Pelodiscus sinensis: one gene and its partners. The protein of the gene in region 3 purifies or fractionates together with the protein of the main gene of each other region. This does not show direct contact. Links are inferred from orthologs where the notes say so. Each region holds a gene or a part of one and is shown on either strand. Other genes may lie near its edges.

Region 1 (7,403 bases), on a different chromosome or scaffold from region 3:
AGAAGCCGCCAGTATAGACGTAGCCTAACTGAATAGTGGTACAACCACATGAAATCTTAGTGGGTACATGACTATTTGATAGTCCCTGGGGCAGGGCCAGCAGCCAGTGTGCTCCCTGCCCCACTCCCAGGGAGTCCCCTGACATTCCGTACTGCTGACCAACTTAAATGTATCCCCCAAATTAAAAAAAACATCGTAAGAGAACCAAAAAAGGGACACCATGGCTTAACAACCAAGTAAAAGAAGCAGTGAGAGATAAAAAGGCATCCTTTTAAAAGTGGAAGTTAAATCCTAGTTAAGAAAACAGAAAGGCGCATGAACTCTGTCAAATCAAATGTAAAAATATAAGAAGAAAGCCAAAAAGGAGTTTGAAGAACAAACAGCTAGCCAAAAACTCAAAGAGCAATATCAAAAAATGTTTAAGCACATCAGAAGCAGGAAGTTTGCTAAACAACCAGTGTGGCCACTGGACGATCAAGATGCTAAAGGAGCACTCAAAGATGATAAGGTCATTGCGGAGAAACTAAATTAATTCTTTGCTTTGGTCTTCATGGCTGAGGATGATAGAGAGAGTCCCAAACCTGAGTGATTCTTTTTAGGTGGCAAATCTCAAGAACTGTTCCAGATTGAGGTGTCATTAGAGGAGGTTTTGGAACAAACTGATAAATGTATCAGTAACAAGTCAAGGGGACCAGATGACATTCACCCAAGAGCTCTGTAAGAAGTCAAATGTGAAACTGCAGAAATATTAACTGTGGTTTGTAACCTATTCTTTAAATCAGCTTCTGTACCCAATGACTGGAAGATAGCTAATGTGACACCAATATTTAAAAAAGGCTGTAGAGGTAATCCTGGCAATTGCAGACCGAGAAGTCTGATGTCAGTACCAGGCAAATTAGTTGAAACTATAGTAAAGAATAGACTTGTCAGACACACAAATGAATATAACTTGTTGGGAAAAGGTCAACATGGTTTTGGTAAAGGGAAATAATACCTTACTGATCTACTAGAGTTCTTTGCCATGGGTTAAGAGTTAGTTGTCTTGGGAAAAGAAGGAAGGTCCTCTCGTGGAGTGGTAACTGGTTAAAAAACAGGAAACAAAGAGTAGGAAGAAATGGTCAGTTTTTAGACTGGAGAGAGGCAACTAGTGGTGTTCACCAAGGGTCTGTCCTGGGACCAATCCTATTTAACCTACTTATAAATGATCTGGAAAAAGGGGTAAATAGTGAGATGGCAAAATTTGCAGAGGATACTGAAATTTTTCAAGATAGTTAAGAACAATGCAGACCGTGAAGAGCTTCAAAAGGTATATTGGCATTGGAAAAGGGTCACAAAGGGTCACCAAAAATGATTACCGGGGGTGGGGGTTGGAATGGGTGCCATATGAAAAGAGATTAAAAAGACTGTGATTTATCAATTTATAAAATAGGAGAATAAGGGAGACTATGATAGAGGTCTATAAAATCACAAGAGGTATGAAGAAAGTGAATAAGTTATTTACTTCTGACTATAACATAAGAACTAGGGTCACCAAATGAAGTTAATAGGTAGCAGATTTAAAACAAACAAAAGGAAGATTTTCTTCATGCAGCAGTCAACCTGTGGAACTCCTTGCAGGAAGATGTTGTGAAGACCAAGACTTTAACAGAGCTCAAAAAAGAACTAGATAAATTTATGGAGATTAGGTCCATCAATACTTATTAGCCAAAATGGATAACAATGGTATTCCTAACCTCTGGTTGTCAAAGTCTGGAAATGGATGACAGGAGAGGGCTCACTTGATGATTACCTATTTTTGTTCAGGTAAGTGAGCTCATCATGGACATGGGCACCAGCTTCGTCCCCACCTTGCTGTCTCTGACACAGAGGCAGCAAGGGGGAGGATGCGTGTAATCAACAAGATTTAAACGATAAGCATAGGTTCAGTGGTTAATTGTGGAGTGGTCTACATGATGACATCCCTACTTCATAGATCAACTGGCAGGATCAGTGACTAACTAAGATGCTAACATCAGTACACTCAAGTCCAGGACATACATTTGGTTCCTAAATCATAATCTCTGTCGGCTGCTGCAGAGATAAAATGTTTTCGCCCTTTTCCTCAGCCACATGGGCAGACGCTGCCCAGCCTTTTACTGGTGAAATTAAGTGGGGAAATTATTGTAATCAGTGATGGCGGTGGGGGGAGCAGTGTCCTCTCACCAGCACCTACCACCGAGGCAGAGTAGATACATAGATGCATTCCCCACGGCGGCCTCCTTTTAGCCCCATACCAGCCATTCCAAGAGTGAGCCGAGAGACCGACTTGAAGAGCGCACCGAGGCAAAGGGCCTCTGGGAGCGTCTCCCTCAACAAGCGGCCTCGCCACAGGCACAGCCAGCAACAGCGCCCAGCTCCCCCGCTGTGGACGGCGCGCGCTCAGCGTTGGCGCGCGGGCTGGGACAGGTCAGTTCCCGGGCGGCGCGAGCTCAGCGCGGGGCGCTTCTAAAGCGGGGAGCGGATCCCAGCTGAGGGACAGAGCTAGGCGCGAGGCGCGAGACACAAGCCAGCCCGCCCCCTCCCCCTCCGGAGCTTCGGGGGGCGGGGCGCGAGAACAGCCGAGAACGCTTCAAAGCCCAACGGCCTCCCTAACTGTAAATCGGCGCCATTGTCCTCTCCCCCCCCCCCGAGTCCCAGGTTTGTGACCCCGCCCCCGCCTCCAAGCCGCGGGGAGAGGCTCGCGAAGCGGCCCGAGGAGATGCGGGGAGCGACGCCCAGGCCCGCACCAGCTCCCGCCTCACCGAGTTCACCGCGTCCTGAAGCTGCGTGAGCCGATCCGCCATGATGCTCCCCTGCGCTCCCCGCCGCCCGGCTCCCAGCGCCGCCTGCCCATGGGACAGAGCCCGAGCGCGGTGTGTGCGTGGTTCTCTTTCGGGTCCGAAGGGCGGCTCGGGCCCAGGGGACGCCTCGATCGTCGCTCGCCCCCTGCCGACTGGGAGGAGCCGCGGCAGCTGACGGGACGCCCTGCGGAGGGAAAGGCCAAAGGTGGCGTCCACTGGGCAATGCAAAAAATTGTTGTAATTGCTGTCAGTGAGTGCTAGGTGGGGGCGGGGGCTGAGTGTACAGGGCAATGGCCAGCGTCCTGGGACAAACAGGGACAGAAACAAGGGGGGCCCAGGATTGTTTTAAATCCACTCCCCTCCTCCCACTTTATTATTAAACCTTTTTCTTGCCAGATGTTTTTGCAGGTGGGTGGGTCTAGACTGGCAAAAACTTGCCAGCTGTCTACACTGGCCACTTGAATTTGCGCAAGAGCACTGACTTTGTAATGTACAAAATTAGTGCTTCTTGCACAAATACTTTCCCGCTCCCGCTCAGGAAAAAGCCCTTTTGCGCAAGAATACTTGTGCAAGAGGGCCAGTGTAGACAGGAAAGAACTGTTTTGCGGAAAAAAGCCCCGATGGCGAAAATGGCGATTGGGGCTTTCTTGCGCAAAATAACATCTAGACTGACCACGGATGCTTTTGCGCAAAAGCACTTTCTGCACAAAAGCATCCGTGGCAATCTAGACGCGCTTTTGCAGAAATACTTTTAACGGAAAAACTTTTCCGTTAAAAGTATTTCCGCAAAATCATGCCAGTCTAGACGCAGCCAAGGAGTGTGACACAAGCAAGATTCTCAGGTCCTAAGCCTCTCAGTGACAAATGTAATGTTTTGTGATACACCATTTGGCCCACCCCGCTTAAGCAACAGCCCTGAGCTAGGATGGAAGCAGAATGACTATACTAGAATCTCAGCTCTTTTTTCTACTCTCCATACTTCCAGAAAAAAACTGAAAAACATGCCCATGGAATAAGTGAGTTGTGCCTGTGAGGGGAGAGGGTGCAGGGAAAGGCAGTCAGAGGAAGAAGAAGAGGGCATGAGGGAGCACTCCATTTAGCAATCACATTTTCACCTCATGGGTGCTACCACAAGTTGCCTGTGCCCATGTGGTACCCTAATTACTAAGAAAGCACAAGGCAAATAAAAAGCACTAATCATTCATTATTGTTAAAATAATCTCACAATTTTAAAGGCAATCTCTCAATTTTTTGCTGTTGGGATTGGCAAAGCTGCTTGAGTATGTTGTTGAAAGCATAGTTGTGCATGTAGGCATGGAATCTTAGAGCTAGTCAACACTAGAAAGTTAAGGTGGTTTATCCATATGGGTTAGGGTAGTGAAAAATCCACACCCTTGAGCAACATAATTAGGGCATTTAAAGTCCCTCTGTAGCCACAGCTAGGACTACCAAAGCATTTTTTCATCAAACTAGTACTGCTTGTTTGGAAGGTAGATTGCTTTTGTCCATAGGAGAATCCCCATTGGTGTGGGTAGTGTCTACAGTGACACAACTGTTGCATTTTAAGTCTACCCAAGCCCTTAAAAGTTGGGGATGGAAGAGACATATTAGGGCCCAAAAGATTGTCTCCTACTATATAATTACTTTTATATTTAGTTTCAGAGGTCTCATGTACTGTGGTTTCCACCTCTTTCCTTTGGAGATGATTCCACGGCCTATACATTTTACTAAATAAGAAACTGTTTCCAACACTGAGTTTACATTTTAGCTATCTTAATTTCTTCTCAGTACTCCCACTTTTACTCCCTGGCACTATTATAAACAATTCTTTACCAGCCTTGAATTTACAAATATTTGTAGACTGCTGTCACAAATCCTCTTTAATTCAAGCAATATTGCTTCAATATTTTTCTTCATAAATCAATCCTAACAGCTCTCCAATCATTTTCTTCTCTAAACTCCCTTCAAACTATCAATATCTTTCTAGTAATGTGATGCACAACTGCACAGAAAGATTCTAGAGTCACATCAGATCCTTAGAGAGTTTTGATGTACAGCCCAGAACTAGTGACCTTGTTTGTAGAGCCCTGAAAATCTGTAGATATTCACAGCTCATTTGTGTAGATATGGATGTGGATAAAAAAATTGTGTCTAGAACTCTGCAAATCTGTGGCTATCCACTTTTTAACTGTGAGTTTTCACATACACAGATGTCAATGCAGATATCTGCAACTTATTTTTGTGGATACAAGTGCAGATACAAATTTTGTATTCATGCAGGGCTCTCCTTGTTTGCTTCCATGTTACCTTGTCTAACTTGTTTAATTTACAGTCTGTCCTCACTGATGATTATATGCAAAAACATGTAGCAGAAAAAAGTGCTGTACCTTAAAAGCAAAGTTATCATTTCTAACCGAGACTAAGGAGAAATGTTATGTCTAAAAGTAATACTGAAGACCCTACATATATGTGTATTATTAAAATTCCAGGTATGTTACTTAACACTTTTTTTGCATGACTTAATTCTTTTGCAAGAGAAATGTCAAGTTAAAACTAAAACACAAGCCACACTGTTTATCAGTTGTGAGTAAAACGAGATTAAAATCAACTTCTGCAATTCTGAGAACAGATAAATATCAGAAATTTTGAACCAACCAGAAACATTAAGATCTTGCATGGTAAGTTTCAGCCCAGAGTATCCAAACTGCCATTCTGTTTATGGCATACATAGAAAGCATTTCTCAAGAATAGTGTACTGTCGGTAGACTTAATCCTGCCTCACTTAAGGGGACTGGACTATGATTCTATCAGTTCTGAGAAAAGATACTCTAGGAAAAGCAAGCCTATGCTGATGAGATTCTTATTTTACGTCAGTTAACATATAAAAGATGTTATGCAAATCTATAGAATAATCATATTGGATATGACCAAAAATTAATGTAGCACAGTATGCTGTCATCCAAGAATGGCCAATGTTAGATACGCTAGAGACAATAAACAGAACAGGCAATCAAGTAATCTATTCCCTGTCATCCATGCGCAGCTTCTGACAACAGAGGCTAGGGACACCTGGCTAATAGCCATAGATGGAGGTATCCTCCATGAATGTACTGTACCATAATTTCTCATTTAGCACTACAGATGTGTTTCTGAAAATGTTTGTGCTAAGCGAAAACATGCTATGCGGGGTCAATTTTCCCATTAAAAATGATGGAAAAGGTGGGGGTTGCATTTCAGGTGGTGGTGGCAAAGTCAATTTTTTGTTGGTGCTCAGTCATCAACGTCAACATTAGATATCTAGCAACACAAGTCACTGTGGTTTGTTAAAACATAAAGATAAACATGTGAGTGAGTGGAGGAGCACTGTGACCACGTGTATTCATCCGCTCGTGTATTATCACTGTTTTCACCAACTTATACCACCGCGCGAAGTAGTCCCCACTTGATTATTTTCGTGTTATTTCGGGGACGGTCATATTATTCAAAAAATGTTCCCTAAAAAAAATCGTGCTATTGCGAAAACGTGTTAAGCGGGCACGTGTTAAGCAAATAATTACTGTATCTAGTTCTTTTGTAACCCTTTCATAGTTATAGCCTTCACAACAATTCTGGTAAAGAATTCCACAAGCTGATTGTGTGTTGTGTGAAGAAATGCTCCCTTTTGTTTATTTTAAACCTACTGGCTATTAATTTCATTTAGTGACTCATCATTCTTGTGTTATGAGAAGGAGTAAATAACACTTCATTATATACTTTCTCCACACCATTCATGATAGTATAACCCTTTAGTGGTCTCTTTTCCCAGCTGAAAAGTTCCAGTCTTATTAATCTCTTCTCATACAGAAACTGTTCCATACCTCTAATAATTTTTGTTGCCTTTTTCTGAACATTTTCCAATTCTAATATATCTTTTCTGAGATGGGACAACCACATCTGCATGCAATATTCAATATGTATTTATATAGAGGCAATAAGAATTTTTGGCCGATTATCTATCCCTTTCTTAATGTTTCCCAATATTCTATTCATTTTTTTGACTGCTGCTGCACATTGAGTGGATGTTTTCAGAGAACCACTCACAATGACTCAAAATTTCACTCTTAAGTGGTAACAGCTAATTTAGACCCTGTCATTTTATATGTATAATTGGGATTATGATTTCCAGTGTGAATTACTTTGCATTAATCAGTATCGAATTTGATTTATCATTTTGTTGCCCTAGCACGTAGAATTTGGCTAACAATCTCATGAGCAGAGACAAATCACAATAAACCGCCATCCCTCCTGACAAAGATTTCAATCTCCCAAACACTTATGTAGGACCTGTCTGTACAAGAAAGTTGCATGCCTAAGGTGTGAATTTAAACTGTTACAGTGCAAACCTCTGTGTGATTTCAGTTTGAGTGGTTTTTTGGTTTCGGTTAGCTTGGGTTGATTGGGAACCAGTTTACATTAAGCCAAAGCAAGACACTCTTAAGCTAAAACAAAACTATCTCCCCAGGTATTTGTACTGGTTTTGTTATAATAGTACACCCACTCAGAGGTGCTGGAACTAGGAGTTCTGCTGCACTCCCTGGCTTGAAG
Region 2 (7,004 bases), on a different chromosome or scaffold from region 3:
AGATAGAATCTGAATAGATCCAATTTTTGTCTTTGTATTGTTTTCAAGAATCACTGTGCTCCAGTGATAAAGTTGAAACATAATTTGGATAGTATTTTTTAAAATAAATTAAATTGGATTTAGATTTTTTTTTTAAAGAATGTGAATTGCTCTTTACATTTTAGAACTATCTTTATAGAACCTAATTATTACCTGATCTTGGTAGGAACAATTTTTAGACTTTTAGTATAATTATTTAATAAAGCGTAATAGGCAACAGTTAAAATTAAGCAGCCTGTCAATTTCTGTATAACATAAAGGCTCTGATCCTAAAATCTGTTCCATGTTGGCAGACCCTTATTTCCATAAATTGTGATACTGACAGCATGGGTTTCACATGGATACTAGTATATGCCCCCACAGATGACAGAATCCAGACCACGTGACTTTAAATAAATTTAGGCAGAAAGTGAACAAGTTCTGTCTTAATAAGGGATGTTAAAAATTGTGTAGAACAGTAACTGTGTATCCGCTAAAAATCTTAGCAGTGACACAGTTAGTTAAATATGCTGCAGGCCCTGCAATATAAAGCTTAGCTTTATACTACAGAGCCTGCATCAAAACCTCCCCAGGAGCGGAGTGGGTAGCTCTTGCCTGCCTGGCTGCTGGGGCAGAGGTTTTGCTGCCCTGCTGTATCAGCTAATTGATTCAACTCTATCATTTCTAGTCTTAATAACAGAAAGTACCTTTGACTTGAGGGCTACGTCTACACTGGCATGATTTTCCGGAAATGCTTTTAACGGAAACGTTTTCCGTTAAAAGCATTTTTGGAAAAGCACGTCTAGATTGGCAGGCCGCTTTTCTGCAAAAGCACTTTTTGCAGAAAAGCGTCCATGGCCAATCTAGACGTGCTTTTCCGCAAAAAAATCTCTGCTGTCTACACTGGCTCTTTTGCGCAAAAGTTTTTCGGAAAAAGACTTTTGCCCGAACAGGAGCAGCATAGTATTTCTGCAAAAGCACTGACAATCTTACATGAGATCGTCAGTGCTTTTGCGGAAATTCAAGCGGCCAGTGTAGACAGCTGGCAAGTTTTTCCGCAAAAGCAGATGATTTTGCGGAAAAACTTGCCAGTCTAGACACGGCCGAGGTGTTTGCCAAGTTATTTTAAAACAATTATCTCAAGTCAAATTTTGCCCCGGATTTAGGTTTTATAAAAGCAAGCAACCTGAGGCCAAAATAAAATATTGATTAAATAAAAAATGGAAAGCTTGGTTTTATAGAACATTCCCTGTAACACTTGCATTCCAAAACATGGCAGTCTGAAAAGAAACTGACTAAAACCAAAGTGAAACTGATCAGTGCATTTTCCCAGCCATAGCCCCAGAAATTGAGATAAATACAAAAAGTATTCCATATAAATAGGAAAATACATTCGTTTATCAACTTAACTTGAAAAGGTAATCTATAGAGAGCCCCTGCTTCTCTGGAAGGAAAAAGACTATGCCAAAGGACACCAGTTGCACCTTGGATATCAGCACAGTAACTTTCACTGAATAATTAATGTGGGGAAATTTCTGTGGCATGTGGATAGAAGTGAAATAAAGAATGCCAAGCATATGTGGGTGATTAAATGGAGGAAAGGGTTACTGAGGATCAGTTTCAAAATGTATTTCATTATGTACTCTAGGGGACCCTTTAGTGTGCACTTGCTGGGTCTCTATATAGACCAATTAATGTGCACACTACCTCCAACTAATAGGCCACAGAAAGGCAATACAGAACAAGGCACAGTTGTATTTTGAACACTTATCAGTATTTTGGCAAGGATCAATAAAATAGACAAGATTTTTAAAAATGCTTGTCCTATCCCTGCCTGTTGTTTACTTACACTGTAAGTGCTAAACTTAAAAAACAACAAATGGTCTGGTAGCACTTTATAGACTAACAAAACATGTAGATGGTATCATGAGCTTTCCTGGGCACAGCCCACTTCCTTAGTTGACGGGAGTTTTGTAGGTAAGTGCTGTAGATCAAATAGACGTCTTAGATGTCTATAGTAATATATGCAACCGACGTTTCAATGGTTCATTTTAAGTTACCTACTTTACTAGCCACTAGACTAAAAAACAGCGCCTTTATTACAAATCCCGCCCACCCCCCGAGTAATGCTTTTGAGGTTGGTTTCTCGGACGTCCAGGGACAGTTCTGAGCCGACCTGATTGCAAGCCGACAGAGAACGGTGCATGTCAGTTTCCACACAGGGAGGAGTTAAAGCAGCGCTCACGGCAAGGCCATGCCCGGCAGGGAAAGGGATTTCGGTAAGTTACTCGCACCCTTTCTCCGGCTTCCCGAATCGGACCGCTAGCGGCCGGGCCCCCGTTCTCGGGGCTGAGCCCCCATCCCTAGGGCACCTCGCCCCGCCCCGGCGGGGTCCCACCTGGCCAGGGGCCTCTCGGCGCTGCCTCGCTAGACAGGAACCGCCGGGTCCCGGCCGCGGCGGCGCGAGTGAGGCCGAGCCGAGCCCGGCCGGGGGCGCGCGGCTACCTGGCCAGCAGCTCCAGATCCTCCAGCGCCGCCAGCAGCCTGTCCCGCGTGCTGCTCCGCTCCCCGCCCGCCGCCATCGCCGCGCCCGAGCAGCAGCCCGCCCCTGCAGCGGCCCGCGGACGCAACGCCAAGGGCCGGCGACAGCGGCATCCGGCGGCGGAGGTCTGAAGCGCAGCCCCCTGCGGAGCCTGTGCCCGCGCCTGGGGCCGGAGACAGCAGAGCCGGCCTGGGCGGCAGCAGGAGCTCCACAGACTCCGCCTGAGGCGCGGGCCCCGCTTTGCAGCTGTCTCAGCAGGCCCAGAGAGAGAAGCAAATTCCTGCTGAGGGACCATTGGTTTGGGGTCGGCCTCCCAGTGCGCAGGGCCCAGCACCTGCCAGGCAAGGCTCTGTGTCCACCTGTTCAAAAAGTGCCTTTCCAGCCCTGGCGGTTGCACAGAACAGCGGGACACCAAGGCTTGGCGGACAGTGGAGGCTTGTGCCAGGCCTGGGCTGTGCCACAGAGTTAGCTGCCTTGCATGCCCCTGGGCATGCCCCTGTCTGTGCTCACACCTGTGTAAGTGCCCCATTATGACAGTGTAGTAACACCTAGAACCAGGGTTAACCTATTGAGGCTGCTACAGCAGGAGTAGCGAGACTCTGTCAACCTAACAGTCATCCAGAAGCTAGTCCACTATGTCCCACCCTCTCCCTGCAATAGTGTCCACTCTGATCACAACTTTAAATTCCACTGCACAGGAGACACAGAGATCAAAGCCACCATCTGCCTATCTCAGTGGTGGGCAACCTGCAGCCCACAGGCCACATTTGGCCCACTGGGGTTACACTTCTGGCCTATGCAACTGTGGGAGAAAAATCAAATAACTCCAACTGTGTCTAAGGAGGGATTGTGCAGGAAATCAAAAGTCTCTAAAAGAAAACTGCTGTAAGGGTTAAAAGTTTTCCAGGCCTCTCTCCCTGTAACAGAGAGAAATCATCTTAACTTTAATCAAGACCCTTACAATGCCTCCTATCTCAACTTCATGAAGACTCCTAGTCTGTCACAATTTGTCATGTAAACTCTTATCTTTGTCACAGTTTGCCTTGTAGCTCCTCACTCAGGTTATCATATGCTTTTGTACTGTAAAACTTACTTCTAGCACTTCTGGTGAGAACAGAGTACTTCTGCTGAGACTTTGATATGTTAAAGGAAATAATCAACAACTAAACTGTCTGAACATACTGTATAAAGGATCCCTGAAACTCTCAGGGCTGCTGCTACTCTCACTCCGGTAGCTGTCAGCCTGCATGCATGCATAATAAAGTTTTCCTTCAAGATTTCTCTCCTGCCTCACTGTTTTGACCTCCAGCCTCGACCCTTCTGCGGACTCTGTACCCCAGGGGAGCGAGATTTCCCCAACACAACCCATGTTTGCCCCTCTCCACACAAGTGCTTCTTGTGCACTGGGGGCATTGGAGCCCCACATTTCTTTCTCCTTCCCCGCCCTCACAATACTTTTGGAATGCCACAAATCTTCTGATTTGTGCTCCATCACCACTTCTCCCACTTCCTCCCAGAGCTTGAACATGTGAAACAGCTGTTCAGTTGGATCACTTGATAATTATCTGTTCTGTTCATTCCCTCTGGGGAATGTGACACTGGCCACTGTCAGAAGATAGGATACTGGGCTAGATGGACCTTTGTTCTTAAAGATACGTGTAGACCTCCAGGATCCCAAAATAGCTAACCCGTGTCTTTTAAATGTGCCTATTATTTGAAAAAAATGAACACGCTATTCCAACATCCCTGTAACCCTCATTGCATGGATGTTTCAAAATAGCATGTTATTTCGAAATTTGGCACTGTGTAGACATGCCAAATTTCAAAATAAGGTACACAATTTTCATAGCGCAAATTGCATATCTTATTTCGAGTTCAGGGTGCTGTGTAGATGCACTCTAAGGCTACGTCTACATTGGCCCCTTTTCCGAAAGGGGCATGCTAATTTTACAGGTCGTAATAGGGAAATCCGCGGGGGATTTAAATATCCGCCGCGGCATTTAAATAAAAATGTCCGCCGCTTTTTTCCGGCTTTTAGAAAAGCCGGAAAAGAGCGTCTACACTGGCCCCGATCCTCCGGAAAAAAGCCCTTTTCCGGAGGATCTCTTATTCCTACTTCAAAGTAGGAATAAGAGATCCTCCAGAAAAGGGCTTTTTTCCGGAGGATCGGGGCCAGTGTAGACGCTCTTTTCCGGCTTTTCTAAAAGCCGGAAAAAAGCGGCGGACATTTTTATTTAAATGCCGCGGCGGATATTTAAATCCCCCGCGGATTTCCCTATTACGACCTGTAAAATTAGCATGCCCCTTTCGGAAAAGGGGCCAATGTAGACGTAGCCTAAATGTCCTGCAGCCACTGGTTACAATGTGATCCTTAAAGTCATTGCTCATTTCTTGGGCTTAGAAGTGGTGCTCTGACATTTGCAGCTACTCTATGAACCTCAGCATCAATCTAAAGTTGTTTTCCCACTGTTTCTTAGCACATTGGTTCTCAACCTTTCCAGACTACCATACCTCTTTCAAGAGTCTGATTTTGTCTTGTGTGCCCCCTCACTTAAAAATTGCTTGCTTACAAAATCAGATATAAAAATGTAAGTGTCATAGCACACTGTTACTGAAAAATTGCTGACTTTCTCGTTTTGTCTGTATGACATTTTAATTTGTACTGACTTTGCTAGTGCTTTTTATGTAACCTATTGTCAAAGGCAAATACCTTTGTGTCGATGTATCTCCGGGGTATATGTACCCCTGACTGAAAACCACTGTTTGGCAAACTGTCCTCAAAGAAATTATATATATTATACTTTCTGCAGGTCTGCAAATCCAAGAAAATAGTGCATCATATATTTGTAATGTGCATAAAAAGAGTGTAGGTTCCATGTTCTGTCAAAAATGGTAGATACCAAAAAAGTGTCACATGGATTTGTGGGTTTAAAAAAAAAAGGTGAAAATCATGGAATATGGATGGCATTATAGGATGGAGAAAGTTATGCGCTGGGAATATGACCTCTAGCTCCCAGAGGTCCGTGGGTGAGTTGTTTCTATTCTACAGCGCATTGCAAACATTTCAACACAAGACATCGTGCCAGACAGATGTCCATGACACACCGCAAGATGTCCATGACCTTACCCATTGTGCCACTGAACTTTGTGTCAGCACAAGCACTCCAGGTGAATACATGCAGCATTTGACACAAGCAATCAAGTACACACCAGCACAAAGGATATACAAACTTTGTCAGTTGTATGCCAATGGAACTTGGGTCAGCCAAAGTTTGTAATGTAGATATGACCTCAAAAACAAGAAATCAAAGGAAAAGAATCCACAATATTTTAACAATCTCATCATTTTTAAGCCCGTCGTCTGGCTGTTTGATGCCTGACTCATGATTTTTGAACACTTAGGGTTGGCAATATTGAGGATGCGGTGTAAAACCACAGAAACTGTCAGGAAGAGTAGGGGCAGCACTTAGAATTACTTTTACCTTAATGTTTTAAATTTGACTAGCTTTCAAGTTGATGGTTTGAACAACTGAAAATGGATATACAGTTATGGACTCCATCATGCACCTTACTCCTGCGCAAAACCCTGGGCAAATCAATGGGATTCTCCACAAGTGCAGAGGTCTGACCATTTAGATCAGATTGCAGAGTAATTAGATACAGAACATGGTTCTAATCCTGAGGACAATCAAACCACATTTTGATAACTTTAAAAGTATTAAATTACAGTAGATGACCGTGATGCTGCATATCATGCAGACAGATTTCTGGGGCCTGTATGAAGCCCCCCTTAAGTTAATATGGTTACTATGTACCTAGAACAATTATTGCAAACAGACCTGGAGACAGAAGCCACAGGGTGGGTGTGAAGTAGAGAGAAACAGAGATGCTAGGGAAGAAGGTCTCTGGGTACTAGAATATTATTCTTTACAGCACATGGAATTAAAACCAGAAGTCCTCAGTCTGTCCATTGCTCTGCTGTCAGCAAATATGAAACTCACTAGCAACATGGCTGTGTCTAGACTGGCAAGTTTTTCCGCAAAAGCAGTTGCTTTTGCGGAATAACTTGCCAGCTGTCTACACTGGCTGCTTGAATTTCCGCAAGAACACTGACGATCTCATGTAAGAAATCAGTGCTTCTTGCGGAAATACTATGCTGCTCCTTGTCCAAGACGGAACATCAGAAATGGCTGCCCGTCACAGGGAGCCATAGCCTGTAATACCTCTGAAGCTGGTATAGGGGGCTCTGTCTGTGAGGTGGAGTGTTTTCCAAATAAGGGCATGTAAATTAATAATCTTCCCCTGCTCGCTCCACCCATTGCAGTAAAAGATCAGCCAATGGGCTGACTGGTGCTCAGGCCTGCTACTCCACCCACTGCAGCAAAAACCAACCTATGGGGTGATAAGTTCACAGGCAATAAAACAGGCAGGCAGCCCCTCTCTC
Region 3 (7,442 bases):
TGAAATCTTATTGGTTACAAGACTATTTGTTAGTCACCAGGGGCAGCAGCGTGGGCTGAGGCAGTTGGGAGCCAGTTCGCAAGGGGAGCCTGTACAAAAACTAACTCCCCGCACAGACTGGCTGCCTATTGCCCTGCACTGCTACCTCTGATACAGAGGCTGCTGCAGCAGGAGCGAGGGGGGAGAAGGGAGGCTACCATGGAACAGCCTGTGTCTGTGGTGGCTCTGGCTGGCCACAGATAGAGACTGGTGCAGCCCCTGTCTGCGGGGGGGGGGAAGGGTCCGAGCTCCTCATGGACAAAGGCTGGTCCACCTCGCATAGAGCAACCTTTGTCCACAATGAGCCTGGGCCACCATGGACAGAGGCCTCCTTTGCAGCAGCCTTCCCTGCCCCACCTCTGCACTGCTGCCTCTGAGGGGTAGGTGGCACTGCAGAGCTGATGCTGGGGGAAACCAGCTTTTAAGCCAGCTCTGGCCAGGAGAATTTACCATAGGCAGCCCCTGGCCAGTGGCCCGGAAGGACGCTTGGGCTAGCTCCCTGGCTGCTGCAGCCTTAATGTGCATCTCTGCACAGCATGCCCCTTGGGAATCATTGGGCCTCTATGTGGTGTATGCACCTGCAAGCACTGCCCTTTCAGCTCCCATTGGCCAGTTTCCAGCTGCAAAGATGGTGCAGGGGGCAGAGTACAGAGATCAACATCCCCTCCAAGGGGCACACTGCACAGACACACACATGCTGGCCACTGTGAGCAGCGTATGGGCTGCAGCATCCAAGGAGCCTACCTGAAAGTCCCACTGGGCTACAACAAGCTGGATCCAAATGTTTGGCAGGCCAGATCTGGCCCACGGGCCATATTTTGCCTGTCCCTTGCTTAGCCTCAGTATTATACCCTACTAACTTAGATCATGTCTACACTACTACTTGTGGCAGCAAAGTTTATGTCACTCTGTTCCAAGGTATTTAAAAAACCCAACCCAAGTGACGTAAGTTTCACCGCTGTAATTGTAGTGTGCATAAATATGGCCAGCATACATGCAGACCAACACCTGAGATAAATCAGGTGTTTTCCTTACAGAATTGCCATACAATTAAATGAGACAAGCAAGGAATAGTAATAACTAGCCAGGGAACTACCATCCCACCTTTCCAGCATCACAGAGAGAAGAGCAGTACATCTCATTCTGGGCCTAACTAGCTACTTGTATGGAGTCATACACATCGAACAACTACCAGACTCATTAAAAGCTACAGAAAAGTTCTACATGGCGTAGACTAGAAAAGTACAAACAGACACAGCAGGCCACTCTTTTGGATTTTAAAAATAATTTTGATTCACTCTGGAGATGCCAGTGCTTCATAAGTAGCAAACAATGCTCACACTTAAAAACCAGACATTTAGTAGGTATACTGAATTAACCTCACTAGGACAACAAGGACTTTTTAGCACCACCTTATTCAGTTTCTACTTAATTAGGCTATAAAGTGTATCGCAAAATTCATAAGGAACACTAAGCACCACCACATCACTGACCAGCTAACAAATTTCACAGGATTAACATTTCTGGGGTTGGGGATACAAACATTAATTTAAATGAAGCTACGATATTTGAAGCATCACTTAAAAGCTTCACTCAGCCCACACAGAACACACTAGGCTAGCAGCAATATACCAAAAATACTCTTTATTTGTGTGTGCATATCTGTATAGAACTAAGTTGTTGGTTAGATTTGTTTTTTGTTTGTTTTTTGCGAAAACACTCAGGGCCTGTTGGGAGCCCTGAACATAGGTGCTTATTCAGTAAATGTATGATCTATATTAAGCCTGGATGCACCAGTCAGTGGAGCTGCACCTGCATCACCACTTCCTCTTATCCAGTTATCTTTTTGTTTTTGAAAGCTGGATTTTCTACCTTAGTACAATAATGTTTACAAAAAACTTTTTCCAAAAGTTAGTTTCTTTGCCTTTTTCTTCCTTTGTTGCTCCATCCCTCCTGGCTTCAAGTGAAACAGTAAGTCAACGGATGGAAAGTCATGGAGAAGAAAAATTGTTATAGCCCATCTTTTGCAGGGACTGGGAGAAAGGGACACTGAGGGATGCACAGACTCTTTACCACCAAGGCTACCACAGTCCATCCTCAAGTCCCTACCCCAACCTCCAGGCTTTTTCCCACCTCTTTCCTACTGCTCCCCCTACATACACACACAGCACCAGGGCTCGCCCCAGTCTCCCTGCTACCCTCCCACCTTCACCTCAGGGTGGCCCCTCTCATTTCTCGCTGCCACCTTCATGCTCTGGCTCTCTCCCTCCCGGGGGGGGGGCGGAACGGACGGACACACACCACCGCCAGCTCCCCTACCCCCACCACCAAGTCCCGCTCCACCCCGTCCCCTCCGCTCCCCTTCCCAGTGTGGGGATTTCTAGGCATTCCCACTGGCAGGGGGCGCGGCAGCTAGCACCGCCCAGCCCCACTGTCACTGCCGTCTCCAGGGGCCACAGACAACTAGTCCCCCCCAGTCACCGCACCCTCCCGCAGCTGCGGGGTCGAGAGGGTGCCCAGGAGCTTGCGGCATCAGCGTCGCTGAACTGGGGACGCCTGCAGGGAGTCCCGGCGCCGCGGCCCCAGGAGGGCGGAGGGACACTCAGGGGCGGGGGGGGGGGGGGGACCAAGCCAGGAGCCCCCGCCCCGTGCCAGCGCCGCCCCCTCTTACCCGTCCTTGCGCCGCGCTTTGTAGACGTGCCCGTAGGTGCCTCTCCCCACTTTGCAGCCCTCGTACTCGAACAGATCCTCCACCCGCTCGCGCTCGGCCGCCAGCTTGGATTTGAACTCGTAGTCCATGTCGCTCACCCATGGGGGAGGGGGCGCGGCGGGATCAGCGCCCCCGGCGCCGGGAGCCCCCTCCCTGCACCATTGCCGCGAGTGGGGCTGGGGGGGCTGTTTTCTTGGATTTTGTTGTGGGGTTTTTTTTTTTTTTTTGGTCCGCTCCGCCGCCACCCGCTTCAACTGGAGCGGCTTGCACCGTGGCGCGGGGCATTCTGGGACTGATAGTGCAGCGGGCGCCGCGGATCCAAAGGCTCCATAGGCAGGCAGCGGCGGGAGAACTACATTTCCCAGCATGCACCGCAATACCCACTCCCTGCCTGCGCCTGCGCTCCCTTGAGCGGCTAAGCGCTTCAGCGGACGCTGGGAAGTTGCTGACTCTTCACTTTGCCCGACTGAGGTGGGAGGCGCAACCACACGGGGGAGGGAGGTTGGTTCGCAGCGAGACCGTGCTCAGTACCTGAGCCTCAGCCCTTCAGCTAGGGGGAGGGGAAGGATTGTGGCGCTGGTACTTGTTTACGTTGTGAGCTGCCACTCAAGCGTGGCCCCGCCCTTCCCCCCTCTTTGGCGATCCCGATTGGTTACGGCTCATCTCGCGCATTTAGTCGTTGGGCTACGGGCTTAGGCGTGAGTGGCTGCCGTGCTCGTCAATCAGCCGCCCTGGCACGCGCTTTTGGGGCGGAGCCGTCTCTGATCGGAGTGGCCGGGGCAGCGCGGAGCGGGTTAGATGCTGCCGCCCAGTTTCCAGCAGATGCAATAGGGCCCCGCGGGCTGGCGTGGCCTGGCGGCGGCGACACCCTCCTACAAGTGGAACCGGGGCGGGGCCCCACCTGCTGTCCCCGAGGGGTCAGAGGAGGAGGCAGCGGCCCCGCCTGCGCGCCCCGGTGCGGCCCAAGGGGCTGGCGCTTCGGCTTCCTTCCCTACCAGCGCCAGGGCGAAAGATCGGAGGTGCCCGCTGAGCCCTGCGAGGCACCGCGCTAGCGCACATCCCTGCCTTCGGGGTGATGCACAATCAAAGGCTGGCCCAGAACTGCTTGCACAGAGCAATGCCGGACGGCCAGGCACTAACCCTGCTCATTCCTGAGTCATCATCGCCATGACAACATTGCCAGGAGGCTATTCCACTGCAAGAGAAAACAGCCAGTCATGGGACTTAAGCATGACTATCATGAAAAGGGCCACTCACACACTTCTGTCCTAGGCTTAGTGTGTACTTAAATTGCCTTGAAGTAGCTATGCCAGTTAGGGGTGAGAAAAAACTACACTCCAGAAAGACATAGCTATGCTAAAAAAAAACAGTGTAGGCTCCAACTCTAGGTTGACAGAAGTGGTGTCTAGGGAAATAGCCAGAGTCATTCAGGGAGGTTGTGTTACTACAACAAATCTGTTGCTATAGGCTGTAGCTATACTACACTACAGGGTTGTGCTCTATATCAATAAAGGCTCCATCAGGTAAACATACCTTCAATTCCCATTTCTGTTTTGAAATTGATATTTGCTACCATCGTGCCTCAAGCTGTTCTCATAAGATTAGTGGTATATAGCCTCATTAGGGATGTAAGCTACTAGTCAACTGTCTGATGAGCTAGGGGTGGTGAACCCCGTGGGGGGGACTCTGCTGTTTGAGGAGAATTTGGGGAGTATCCATATCAGCCACCAAACCAGAGACTCATTTAACTGCACATCCCCTAATGTGATTTATGCCGTCAAATGCCAGCAATGCCCCCACTGCAATATCTATCGGACAGACTGGACAGTCTGTACAGCCATGGTCACCAACCCATCGATCACAATCAACGGGTTGATCGGAAGGGCTCGACCAGTGATTGCGAGGCGTTCGGGGCCCCTCCAATTCTCCTCGCCCCCAAGAAGCCCCACTACCTACCTCCGAAAACGGAGGTAGTGCCAACTTCCTGTGGGGTGGAGGGAAGTCCAGCAACTGCGTGCCACTTCCGGGGTTTCCGGAAGTACACTGCCTACTCCTCTCCTCCAGGTCTGTGGCGCACCGGGAGGAAGTAGGAGTCCCAGAGGAAGATGCGCGCTGGGGCTTCCGGGGGGGGGGGGAAGAGAAGAGAGGGGAGGCGCGCACCGGGGCTCCCCTCTGCCCGGGAGGAGGTAGGAGTCCTGAGGGCAAGCTTGCACCGGGGATGGGGGAGGAGTCCCAGGGGGAAGCGCACGCCGGGGAAAAGGTAGGAGTCCCAGGGGGAAGCATGTGCTGGGGCTCCCCTCCTCTGTAAGGGAGAGGGGAGGAGTCCGAGGGGCAGTGCACACTGGGGCTCCTCTCCTCTGCGGGGGAGGAGGTAGGAGTCCCGGGGAGAAGCACGCGCCAGGGAGGGGGGAGAAGTCCCTGGGGGAAATGCGCTAGGGCTTTCCTCCTTTGCAGAGGAGTCGTCCCAGGAAGAGGCTCTTGCCGGAGCTTCTCTCCTCTTGGGGGGGGGGGAATCCCTGCCCCAGCCAACACCCTGCTCCCACTGGCATCCTGTCCCCACCCCAGCACCCTGTCCCTTGCCTCCACTGACACCCTGTCCTCTGCCCCAGGCCCTTGCCCCAGAACCCACTGGCCCTTGCCCCAGCACCCATTGGCACCCTAGCCAGCACCCTGTCCCGATACCCCCTTGCACCCTTCCCCAATACCATGTCCCCCTGCTCCCACCAGCACAGTTGGGGCCACATTAGTGAGGCTTGTGGGAGTTTTGGAGGAGTTTTTATTTTGCATCCCACTTGTGTGGACCCTACTGACTTTTCTGTGGGTCAGTGACCCCTGACTCAAAACAGGTTCCCTGCCCTTCTCATAAATAAAGAGAATGCAGAAACTTTTTGTTTGCCATAGTATTTTATTTAAAAATGAAGCCTGGCCAACAAACCCACAGTTGGGGCCAAGCCCCCATCTGCCCACAACATCATGACACTCCTGCATACCCCTTTCCCCCAGACCTTTGATCTGAACCTATCATACACTGGAAATCCCTGCCCTGAGCCCCTCACATACCCTAACCCAAATTCCTGCACCTTTATATCCACAAGCTTGTGGCTTGCTTAGTACCCTAACTCTACATCTGACCCCAACATTGCCCGGCCTGAAGCCCCCTCCCCAACCCAGCGTCCCCTTCTCCACCTCCTCCTATATCCAGATTTCCTTTCAGAGCTTGCACTTCTCACCCCTTCCCACATCCAAATCCCTCATTCCCACCCCAGAGCCTATACATCCTGCCTCAACCCAGTGAGGGTAAGGCTAGACTGCAGGAGTTTTTCAGGATTCTGAAGATATCCCAGAAAAACTCTTCTGCGTCCAGGGATGCATTTGTTCTTCCGCTTTTTTTAGTGGAAGAGCAAACATGCTCTTTCAGTAACCCCTATATTCCTCTTTCCACGAGGAATAAGAGGGCTTCCAAAAGAAGGGGTTTTACTGACATTTGGTCCAGTCTTGACAGGCCAAATGTTGGGGAAACCTCTTCCTACAGAAGGATTGGGGGAAAAGCAGCAGTATAAGGGTTGGGGATAGCAAGTGATGGAGAGAATAGAGAGGAAGGGGCAGGGCTTCGAGGAAGGAGCGGGGCGGTAGCTCTTGGCTTGTTCTGTCATTTGAAAAGTGATCTTGGGTGTAAAAAGGTTGGAGACCACTGCTCTATGGGAAAGAATTAATGGACACAAATCAGATATCCGAAAAGGCAACACACAAAAACCTGTTGGAGAACACTTTAATCTTCCTGGACACTCATTAATGGATCTCCAAGTCGCTGTTTTGTTTCAGACCAATTCCACAAGCCAAATACACAGAGAAGGATTGGAGCTTAACTTCATTCACAAGTTTATTTCTTATGATAATGTGTGAATCATGGTTCACACATTATCAACCAACCGACCAATGAAGGTGCTAATGGTTCTTGATGTCTGTGTAGAATCTGGTGTTGGTCATCTTCCTTTCCAAGTACTAACTAATGGTTCTTATCAGCCTCTTGTAACTATTTAGTCTTTGAGATGCTACTAGACTAATTGTTATTTTTTAAGTTTTTCCTGTTACAGACTAACCTCTGAAGCTTTATCTCCTCAATGTCAGTGGGAGTTTATTCTTGGGGTGTTTTTTTGTTTTTTTATTTTGCTCCTAATTTGTGTGCAGCCCCCGACTGATTTTTCTGTGAGTCAACAGCCCCCAACCCAAAAAAGGTTCTCCACCTCTGCAATAAGCAAAAGCTTATAGGATAGTCAACTAATTCCTCAACTAGTCGCTTACCCTCCTCCCCTTGCTGCCTCTATCAGAGTCCGCAAGGGGGGAGGGGACAAGAGCCAGTGTTCGAAGGAGCCGGCTTAAAAGCCAGTTCCCCCAGCTCCGTCTCCGCAGGGAGGTAGTGGGGACTGGGCGCAAGCTGGAAATCAGCTTATTCCCAGCTTGCATCCAGTCCCAGATACTACACCTCTGCTTTTTAAATGTTTTAAGAGCTTGTTAGTTGTCCTGGCTCATGCTGAGTCCCTCCTGCTGCGCTTTAGCCTTTTAAATATATTAAGAGCCAACAAGCTATTAATACATTTAAAAGGCAGAGCTGCAGCAGGGTTAGCTCTCAGGTCCCGCTGCAGTTCCCCTGCTTATCAACTATTTGACAAGTGGATGGAAAATCTATTGACTA
Region 4 (7,751 bases), on a different chromosome or scaffold from region 3:
AGGAAGTAAGGGGGGAGGGGGAGAGAGAGATTGAGGCTCCGTGGGAGGGGCCAGGGGAACAGCTGCAGAGTTCCTCCTTTGAAATGTACAAAGAGTCCCCACTGGGGCTCTGGTACATTTGAAAGCAAAAGCACCACATGGAGTCTGGAGGCAGTGGGGGGGCTCCCCACTTGCCCTGGGAATCCCCGCGATGGGGCCAGCGGGCTCCATGCAGTGTTTGTCTTTGAAATGTACAAGAGCTCTTGTGTGGCACTTCTGCCTTTGAAATGTAGCAACAGCAAGGCAGGCTCTTGCTACATTTCAAAGCAGAAGTGCCCTTATCAAATAGTCGATGGAAATTCTATTGGCTATTTGATTAGTTGATTAATCTAATTTTAACATCCCTAATTTATAGACATGCTGACTCATTAGTTATGTAACTATAATTTTTTTTTTACTATCTATCTCACATTAGGGATGTTAGCATGTATCCGTGTACACAATTAACCAATAAGAGAAGCAGCAGCAAGGGGATGTGGGGAGGTAGATGGGAGCTGGTAGATGCAGGAAGCTGACTTTCAAGCCAGTTTCCTGTGCATACCAGCTCCTGCAGAACTGCCTGTCCTGTCATAGAGGCAGCAGTGTGGGGGGACAGGTGGGAGCCAGTGCTCGGGGGGGTGCGGGGGAGGTAGCTGGCTTAAAAGCCTACTCCCCAACAAGCACTAGCTACTGCAGAGCCACCTGCCTCCTCACTCTGCAGCCTCTCTTTTAAGCCAGGTCCCCATGAGCGCCACCCTCCTGCCTGCCTCCCTGCATGTAAACATGCAACTACTAAAATTTTCAGCAGTTACACATTTACACAAATAAACAATTTTTAATTTCCCTATCCTGTATCAGCTTTTTGATGATTCTGAGTGATGACTGGCTAGCCTGTAAAATGGGGAATTAGGGTAAAATAGAGTCAAAGCTCTCCAGAGCCAATAGCTCATGGTGCTGAGAGGGTGGTTAATGCACATTGATCAGTTTCATACCCAACAGTATGCATGCAAGTGATGTAGTCCACATAAGTCAGTGGCACCAACCAGTAGATCAGGATCCATCAATAGATCTTGGAGCCTCTGACAGGTGATCCTTAATGGTTTGGCCAGGAAGCTATCAAGTGCTGGCACTTCAATTGCCCCTCCACCCACTGTCACGCTGCTCCTGTCCTCTCCTTTAGAGCTGCCCCCCTGGAAGCCTCCTGCTTGCTGTGCAGGGTGTGGGAGAGAGATCTTGGAACCTTTGCTCTCTAACGGTAGATCCTGATCTACTGGTTGGTGACCACTGTTCTACTGCTTGCAAACTGTGTTAATTTTGGTTTTTGACTGGTCTGTCCATTTCATAACTTTCATTTTTTACGCTTAATTTAATTCTTTCAGTATTGAGTTCTAAAATGCCTAACCTACTGTGGCTGGAGTTTTTATCCCTGTGATAATTGCTGCTCCTGGAAGTGGCTGGTATGTCCCTGCAGCCCCTGAGACAGGAAGAGCAGGGAGGTCTCCACATGCTGTCCTTGCCTGCGGACCTGTCCTGCATGTCCTATTGATCGATAAGAGGGAACTGTGGCCAGTAGAAGCTGTAGGCTCAGTGCTTGTAGATGAGGGGCAGCACATGGCACCATGGAGCCATTGCTGGACATGCCGACTGCTTTCAGAAGTAGTACAGGGCCAGGGCAGAAGTAAGCCTGCCTTAACTCCTGGGCTCCATCACCCAGAAGCTGTCTCAGTTAAACGGTGCTCAGCCAGAGCCTGCTGAACCCTTGTCCCAGCCCTGAGCCTCCTCCTACACCAGAAGAGAGTCCCCCTGTACCCAAACTCCTTCCCAGAACTTGCACCCTGAAACCCCTCCTGAACCCCAAACCCCCACCCTGGGCTAAGCCTGGATACCCTCCCACATGCCAAATCCCTTGGCCCAACACTAGAGCCTGCAGCCCAAGCCCTTAACCCAGTCTGGTGAAAGGGAGTGAGGATGGGGGAGGAAGGGAGATGAAGTGAGTAGGGCGAGGCCTCGAAGAAAGGGTGGAGCATGGGCAGGGCCTCCGAGGGGGCATGAAGGAAGCAGGGCACGGGTATATGGGTTTGAGGTAGAGCTTACAATTCACTTAAATTGAAAAAAGTGATCTTGTGGTGATCTTTTAAAAAGGTTGGCGACCACCCATATAAGTAGAGCCCTGTCAACCTGCGGGGCTACCCGCTTGGCGTCCAACTCTCTCCGACTGCCCCGACCCAATGGATCCGAGCGCCAGTTTGCAGCTTGGGGAACTGGAGGTGGCCTTCCAAGCAGCACCTCCCGACCCCCGGGCTGCAGTCAAGCGCCTTCCCCGCTCGGCCGCGCTAGTCCAGTGTCAGAGACGCGGAGCCCTAGACGAGCCCAGCGAACTGAACCCGGGGGGAGGCTTGAGTCGGAGATGAAACACCCGACACGCAGCCCTCGCCAGGGAACCGAGGCCCCTGCGCTGCTCGCGGGACCGTTTCCTCACGATCGCGCCAACAGGAAGCGCATTGCTTCCAGGCAGCAGCCTTCGACACACCGGGGGCCACGCGGCGGAGCCGGTGCGGGGGGGGTTACAACGCAGGCCCTGCCCCCCTAAGGAGCCAGGGGCGGGGGAGACTCGGCGCCTTCGGGAGGGCAGAAGTGGGGACAAGGCCTGGGGTGAAGCGGCGCCCGCTCCGTTCACCCCCCCCCCCCCCCGGGCCGCGCTCCGAGCCCTTCCCAAGGCGGCCAGCCGGAGCCCTGCGCGGAGGGAGAATCCCCTGAGTAGGGAGGGAGCCGCTCTGGGCGCTCACCTGTTTCCATGGCTGGCGGCTCCACTCGCGCGCCGAGCACAAGATGGCGGCGGCACTGCCCCCTGCCGGCCGGAAGCCTCGCGGAAAGCCGCCCTGGTGCATTCTGGGAAGCCAGGCGGCGCGTGGAGACGGTTACTAGGGTAACGAAGAGGGCGCGCCCTCCAGAGCTGGTGGTGGGGGCGGGGCCGTGACCTGCTCGCCCCGCCTTGTGTGTCCCTTGCTGCCAGGACCTGCCCTTACCGTGCGCAAGTGGGTGACGTCACACCAGAGGGAGGAGCGGTACTGCTTACCACATCACACCCGAGGCATGCGGCCTCGTGTGTGACGTCACCAGGGACTCCCTGTGACGTCACTGTGCAGCAAGTGTTGGGAGTAGCTGGACAGGGACCACAGGGCGACCAGGACTAGATGGGAGCTGACAGCACCAAAGGGGAATTGTTCAGTGCGGTGTGTAAGGAAATAACGGAAAGAGAGGAGACAAAATCAAGGCCACCTCTTCCCTTGCCAGTGCTGGAGATCAGTCTTCCAGCCTTCAACTGAGCTGGTCTATTTAAGACCTGCTAAATTGAGTGCCTACTCCTTGATTCGCGGGAAGTAAGGGAAGCTAACAGGAGCGTATGCTCCCATCGGCCTCACTCTAGGAAGATGTCGCCAAGCTCGGCTTACGGCATGTTCACACCAGCTACATAGTTCACAGAAATGGAGTTGGGTACCGTAACCCGACCTTTCAGGTCTAGTGTAGATCTGGCCTACGAAGGATAGCTTCTGATACACTTCCTGATAATGGGCCCGTCTACACAGCTGGGCTAAAGCCAAAATAAGCAACGCAATGAGATCAGACGCCCCTAACAATTTTTTCTTCTCTAATTATTGTAACCTAGTGTGCCTGAGGTAACCCTTGCTGAAAAAAAGCTAGGGCAAGCTGCAAAAGGCAGAGAAAATTCTCCCATGATTGATAAGTAACACTGAAAACTTCCCAACCAGTCACCAGCTGTGCTTCTGATTCCCCAGACTGGTTATCAAGAAGCCAAAAAAGAAATCACATTGCCCCATTTCATGCATTCCCGTTCTTTGTCTCCCAATCAGCATTTAGGTCGAGTACAGTGAGAAGTTTTTTAAATAACTCTGCTCTCTATACAAAATATACATCTGAACCCAAAAGGGCCAGCCACATTGTCTGGTCAATATTTGGTTGGGTCTGAAATACCTAAAATACCATGCTGCCAGCCAATCCTGTAGTGTCTAAAGCTAAAAGTTTATATAAAGAAAAAAGAAAGAACAAGAAGAGTATTAAATGATGGAGCAGCAACATTCATGCAAAGACTTCAAAGTCCATACATCAGGGTCAAAGCAGGAGAGTTTGGGGCTTGAAAGGCCCTTTGGAGCACATCCACAGCTTGGATGGCACATTAATTCTTTTTTCAGAGATTCAGCTTTTAAAAAAGTCACTCCAGAGATAACCAGGAGTGAAGAGAAAAAGGAAATGATGCAGTTGCCCTTTATATTCCTCTTGCTTTGTGGCTTGTATTTCATATGTTCCAAATACAAGTTTCACAGCACACGAGCATGGAAAAGATGTAGAGTTCACTGTCCACAGGAATGCCCCAGATGCTTTGGCAAGTCATAAGTTACATCCAAGGGATGGGCAAACTACGCCCCATGGGCAGTGTCCTAGCCATCAGACCTTTTACTCCAGCCCAGATGGAGAGCGGGGTTGGGGACTTCTCCCATTCCATGTGCTGTTGCTGTGCTCGGCTCCCAGAAGCAGAGGCAGTATAACAGCCATGGAGCTCTTAATACTGCCCCTGGACCAAGCAGTAGCTCTGCAGCTCCTATTGGCCGGGAATCAAAGCCATTGGGAGCTGCAGAGAGGGCAGCATCTGCAGGCAGGCTAGTGCACTGAGCTGTGTGTCTCCATGTAGGAGGTAGAGCTAAGACATGCTGCATCCTGCTTCAGAAGCCTTTTAAATCTGCATTTGAAAGGGAATCCTCTGAACTGTCATTCATGCTAAAATTCAACACTCTACGCATGGGTCTCAACAAGGACCCCAGTTATCTTACCCATTACAAAGATAGCTTCCCTAATTATCACCTCTAATACCATTAGCTCACAGACATTTACCTTCCCCCCCATCCCCCTACTGTTCTGAAATTTGATTTGTCCTTTTTATATGTGTTCTTTTTTTTTAAATTGTATCCTTTGTATATATGGTTGTGACTATTTTCTTCCACTATTTGATCTGAGGAAGTGGGTCTGGCCCACGAAAGCTCATCATCTAATAAACCATCTTGTTAGTCTTTAAAGTGCTACATAGTCCTGTATTTTGTTTCAGCTACACCAGACTAACACGCCTACATTTCTATCACTATTAGACACAATTACAGCACTCACAAGGGAAAATGGTTTCCCTTCAGAAACACAGAAAATAAAGGTAGACCATGATGATGCAGACAAAACAACAGAGGTGGAAACCCAAAATGTGGAGATAAAAGTCTTCATATTCTCCCAATGAAATCAGCAGCAGGGTACAGAACTGGGTCCACAGCCCACCATACTGGTTAAGGTGAAGCATTAATCATGTATTTTAATACTAAATGCAGCTTTATACATAAAAGTAAATACATAAAAACTGCTCTGAAATGGTTCCTACTTTTTTGTATCTAGTCTCATATCTCTTGCTCACTCATAGCTGCCTATAATTTTAAAAGCTTCAGAGGGGTAGCCAAGTTAGTCTGTAACAGGAAAAACTTAAAAAACAAATAAATAGTCTGGTAGCACTTTACAGACTAACAAAACATGTAGATGGTATCATGAGCTTTCATGGCCACGAAAGCTCATGATACCATCTACATGTTTTGTTAGTCTGTAAAGTGCTACCAGACTATTTGTTGTTTTTTTTTATAATTTTAAAGTTTGCATTGGCTGCTAAAGCTGAAGCATAAACTCTGGAATCAAAGTTCACTTTTATATCAGTAACCTCCCTTTGCAATCAATGGTCTTTACTTGCACTCTTTTTCAGATGATTGCAAAAAAAGCTTTTGCTTCTTGCAAAACATTTGCTTTGCAGAGCTCAATTATAAGGACAAATGAGAATTTTTACATCTAAATTTTTGAAGTTTGCTCCATAAGAAATCTTTTTGTTTGTTTGTTTTTGACACTAATGTGATTGACTATAAGGGTTAAAATTTTGTCAATATTCCCAAATGAATGCTGGCCATGTGACCTGCTCCCTAGATAAGCAAGTAGGAAAGTTTTAGAGCACATTCTTCACAGTTCTTTATAACGTCAAAGATAATGGCAGCACAATTTCTGCAGGAGATTGGCAATGTAAGTGACTGCAAAGAAATGATGATTTTAGCCATAAAGTGGGTACAGAAGACATTTCCAAATGTGGAATCAGTTACCACAGGGACATTGCATTACTGGATGGAAGAGAAGCCAGAAGAATTAATCATTCTTGTAAGTAATTTATTACCTATGAATTAAGAAAGTACTTTGTAATTAAAATTAGTCTTGGTCTCCTGACTACCCAATTTAAACGGATAACATTTTTCCATGTTCAAGAAATATTTTTTGTGATCTGGATATCCAGGTAGATTTTGTTTTCTTTACTTATGATCTCATGTCAGACCTCTCGTCTCCATTCACTTCACATCTTCTCCGCGTTGCATAGGTAAGGCCTTATAAAGCTAGGTGCAATAGGACACTAATAACACTTTGCTCCTTTAAAGCATTGGGTATCCAAGGATCCCAAAGCATGCTGGGTTCAGTCTCTATGCCAACTACCATGCCTTCTACCATTCTTTCTTGACCTGATTTTGATGTATGCATAACTGTGACAAATTAAATATAAAGAAAGTTATAATCAAGCTAACTCATAAGACTGGAGCTTCAGCTGCTGTAAATTGAGGTAGTCCTGTTGAAGTCAGAGGCACTATGCTGATATATGCCAACCGAGGAATTGATTCTGCAGGAAAATTGAAAGCCACAGGTTCACACATAGGATTCTTCAAGAAAATAAACCAAAAGAAGTTCCCATCCCATTATTTATTACCAGGCATTGTTATAGTGAAGGAGGACCTTAAAATCTGGGCTCAGAAGACAAGGCTATCACAATTGTTAGCAAGGTATGAAGCATCAGGTAGCATCAGGTTCCCACATCTGACTTAATTCTAATAACATGGCTGGGGCTTTCCAGAAAAAAAAGCCCACAAATTATCAGGAGGCTTGTGATCAAATCAGGAGAGTTGGCATCATGGATAGCTAGTCACTTTCACAAGATGATTTAATAGTTTCACAGTTTACAACTATGGACAGGATGACTCTGCACACACCTCCCCCAGGCCATAGGAAGGTGCTGGTAGTGGCATAGAGATAACAGCAGGAAGCCCCACCCTAACCCCGCAGCCCTTTGGGTGGTATTGGCAGGGGCCCATGATGGGTTTTAAATCAACCGGGGGGGGGGGGGGCAGCAGAGATACTCACCCCACCCAAAGCCCTTCCCAAGGAGGGGTGCCCACTAGCCCATTAGAAAGATCTGAGGCCTGGCACTGGTCCTCAGATAAATTGAGTTTGAGACCCTTGTTATAATGTTTCTGGTAGAATCTGAGCACCAGTTACTTACACTGAAACCCATTTATTCACTGGCTGGACACCAACACTATGACTTTTCACTCTGCCTGTCTAGTATGGCTGCTGCTCCCTACTTAGTATAAGTGGTGCTGTAGCCAGGGTGAAGAGGTGTTTGCAACTGTGCTATCTAACCCTACATTAGTGCTTCTAGCACTGGTGAATCATTAACATCACTTTTTGTAACACCTTGATTTTCCAGTCTGGTCTCCCAACCAGAATCTAGTGTCTGAGATGCACCAATGCCCAGCAAAAGCATATCATGGTACAGGAAAAAGGAATGGGGTACTGGCAGCATGCTCAGTCCCTGGAGAGGC

The links.
Region 1: the proteins of CDK19 (region 3) and MED21 purify together in Homo sapiens (affinity purification with mass spectrometry; 6 studies listed by BioGRID and IntAct, counting the BioPlex papers as one, with this or other methods). This does not show direct contact. The link is inferred for Pelodiscus sinensis from reciprocal best matches to the Homo sapiens genes CDK19 and MED21.
Region 2: the proteins of CDK19 (region 3) and MED4 purify together in Homo sapiens (affinity purification with mass spectrometry; 7 studies listed by BioGRID and IntAct, counting the BioPlex papers as one, with this or other methods). This does not show direct contact. The link is inferred for Pelodiscus sinensis from reciprocal best matches to the Homo sapiens genes CDK19 and MED4.
Region 4: the proteins of CDK19 (region 3) and MED31 purify together in Homo sapiens (affinity purification with mass spectrometry; 6 studies listed by BioGRID and IntAct, counting the BioPlex papers as one, with this or other methods). This does not show direct contact. The link is inferred for Pelodiscus sinensis from reciprocal best matches to the Homo sapiens genes CDK19 and MED31.

Annotation. Positions count from the first base shown.
Region 1 is NC_134711.1:119,852,155-119,859,557, reverse strand, and holds the start of MED21 (mediator of RNA polymerase II transcription subunit 21), read right to left. Parts: upstream 3,008-7,403; 5' UTR 2,823-3,007; coding exon 2,781-2,822; intron 2,636-2,780; exon of another isoform or gene 2,243-2,635; coding exon of another isoform or gene 2,213-2,242; intron 1-2,212. UniProt on the Homo sapiens protein: Component of the Mediator complex, a coactivator involved in the regulated transcription of nearly all RNA polymerase II-dependent genes.
Region 2 is NC_134711.1:288,753,942-288,760,945, forward strand, and holds the start of MED4 (mediator of RNA polymerase II transcription subunit 4), read right to left. Parts: upstream 3,007-7,004; 5' UTR 2,856-3,006; coding exon 2,524-2,855; intron 1-2,523. UniProt on the Homo sapiens protein: Component of the Mediator complex, a coactivator involved in the regulated transcription of nearly all RNA polymerase II-dependent genes.
Region 3 is NC_134713.1:79,074,443-79,081,884, forward strand, and holds the start of CDK19 (cyclin-dependent kinase 19), read right to left. Parts: upstream 3,014-7,442; 5' UTR 2,852-3,013; coding exon 2,711-2,851; intron 1-2,710.
Region 4 is NC_134731.1:14,453,462-14,461,212, forward strand, and holds the start of MED31 (mediator of RNA polymerase II transcription subunit 31), read right to left. Parts: upstream 3,010-7,751; 5' UTR 2,815-3,009; coding exon 2,805-2,814; intron 1-2,804. UniProt on the Homo sapiens protein: Component of the Mediator complex, a coactivator involved in the regulated transcription of nearly all RNA polymerase II-dependent genes.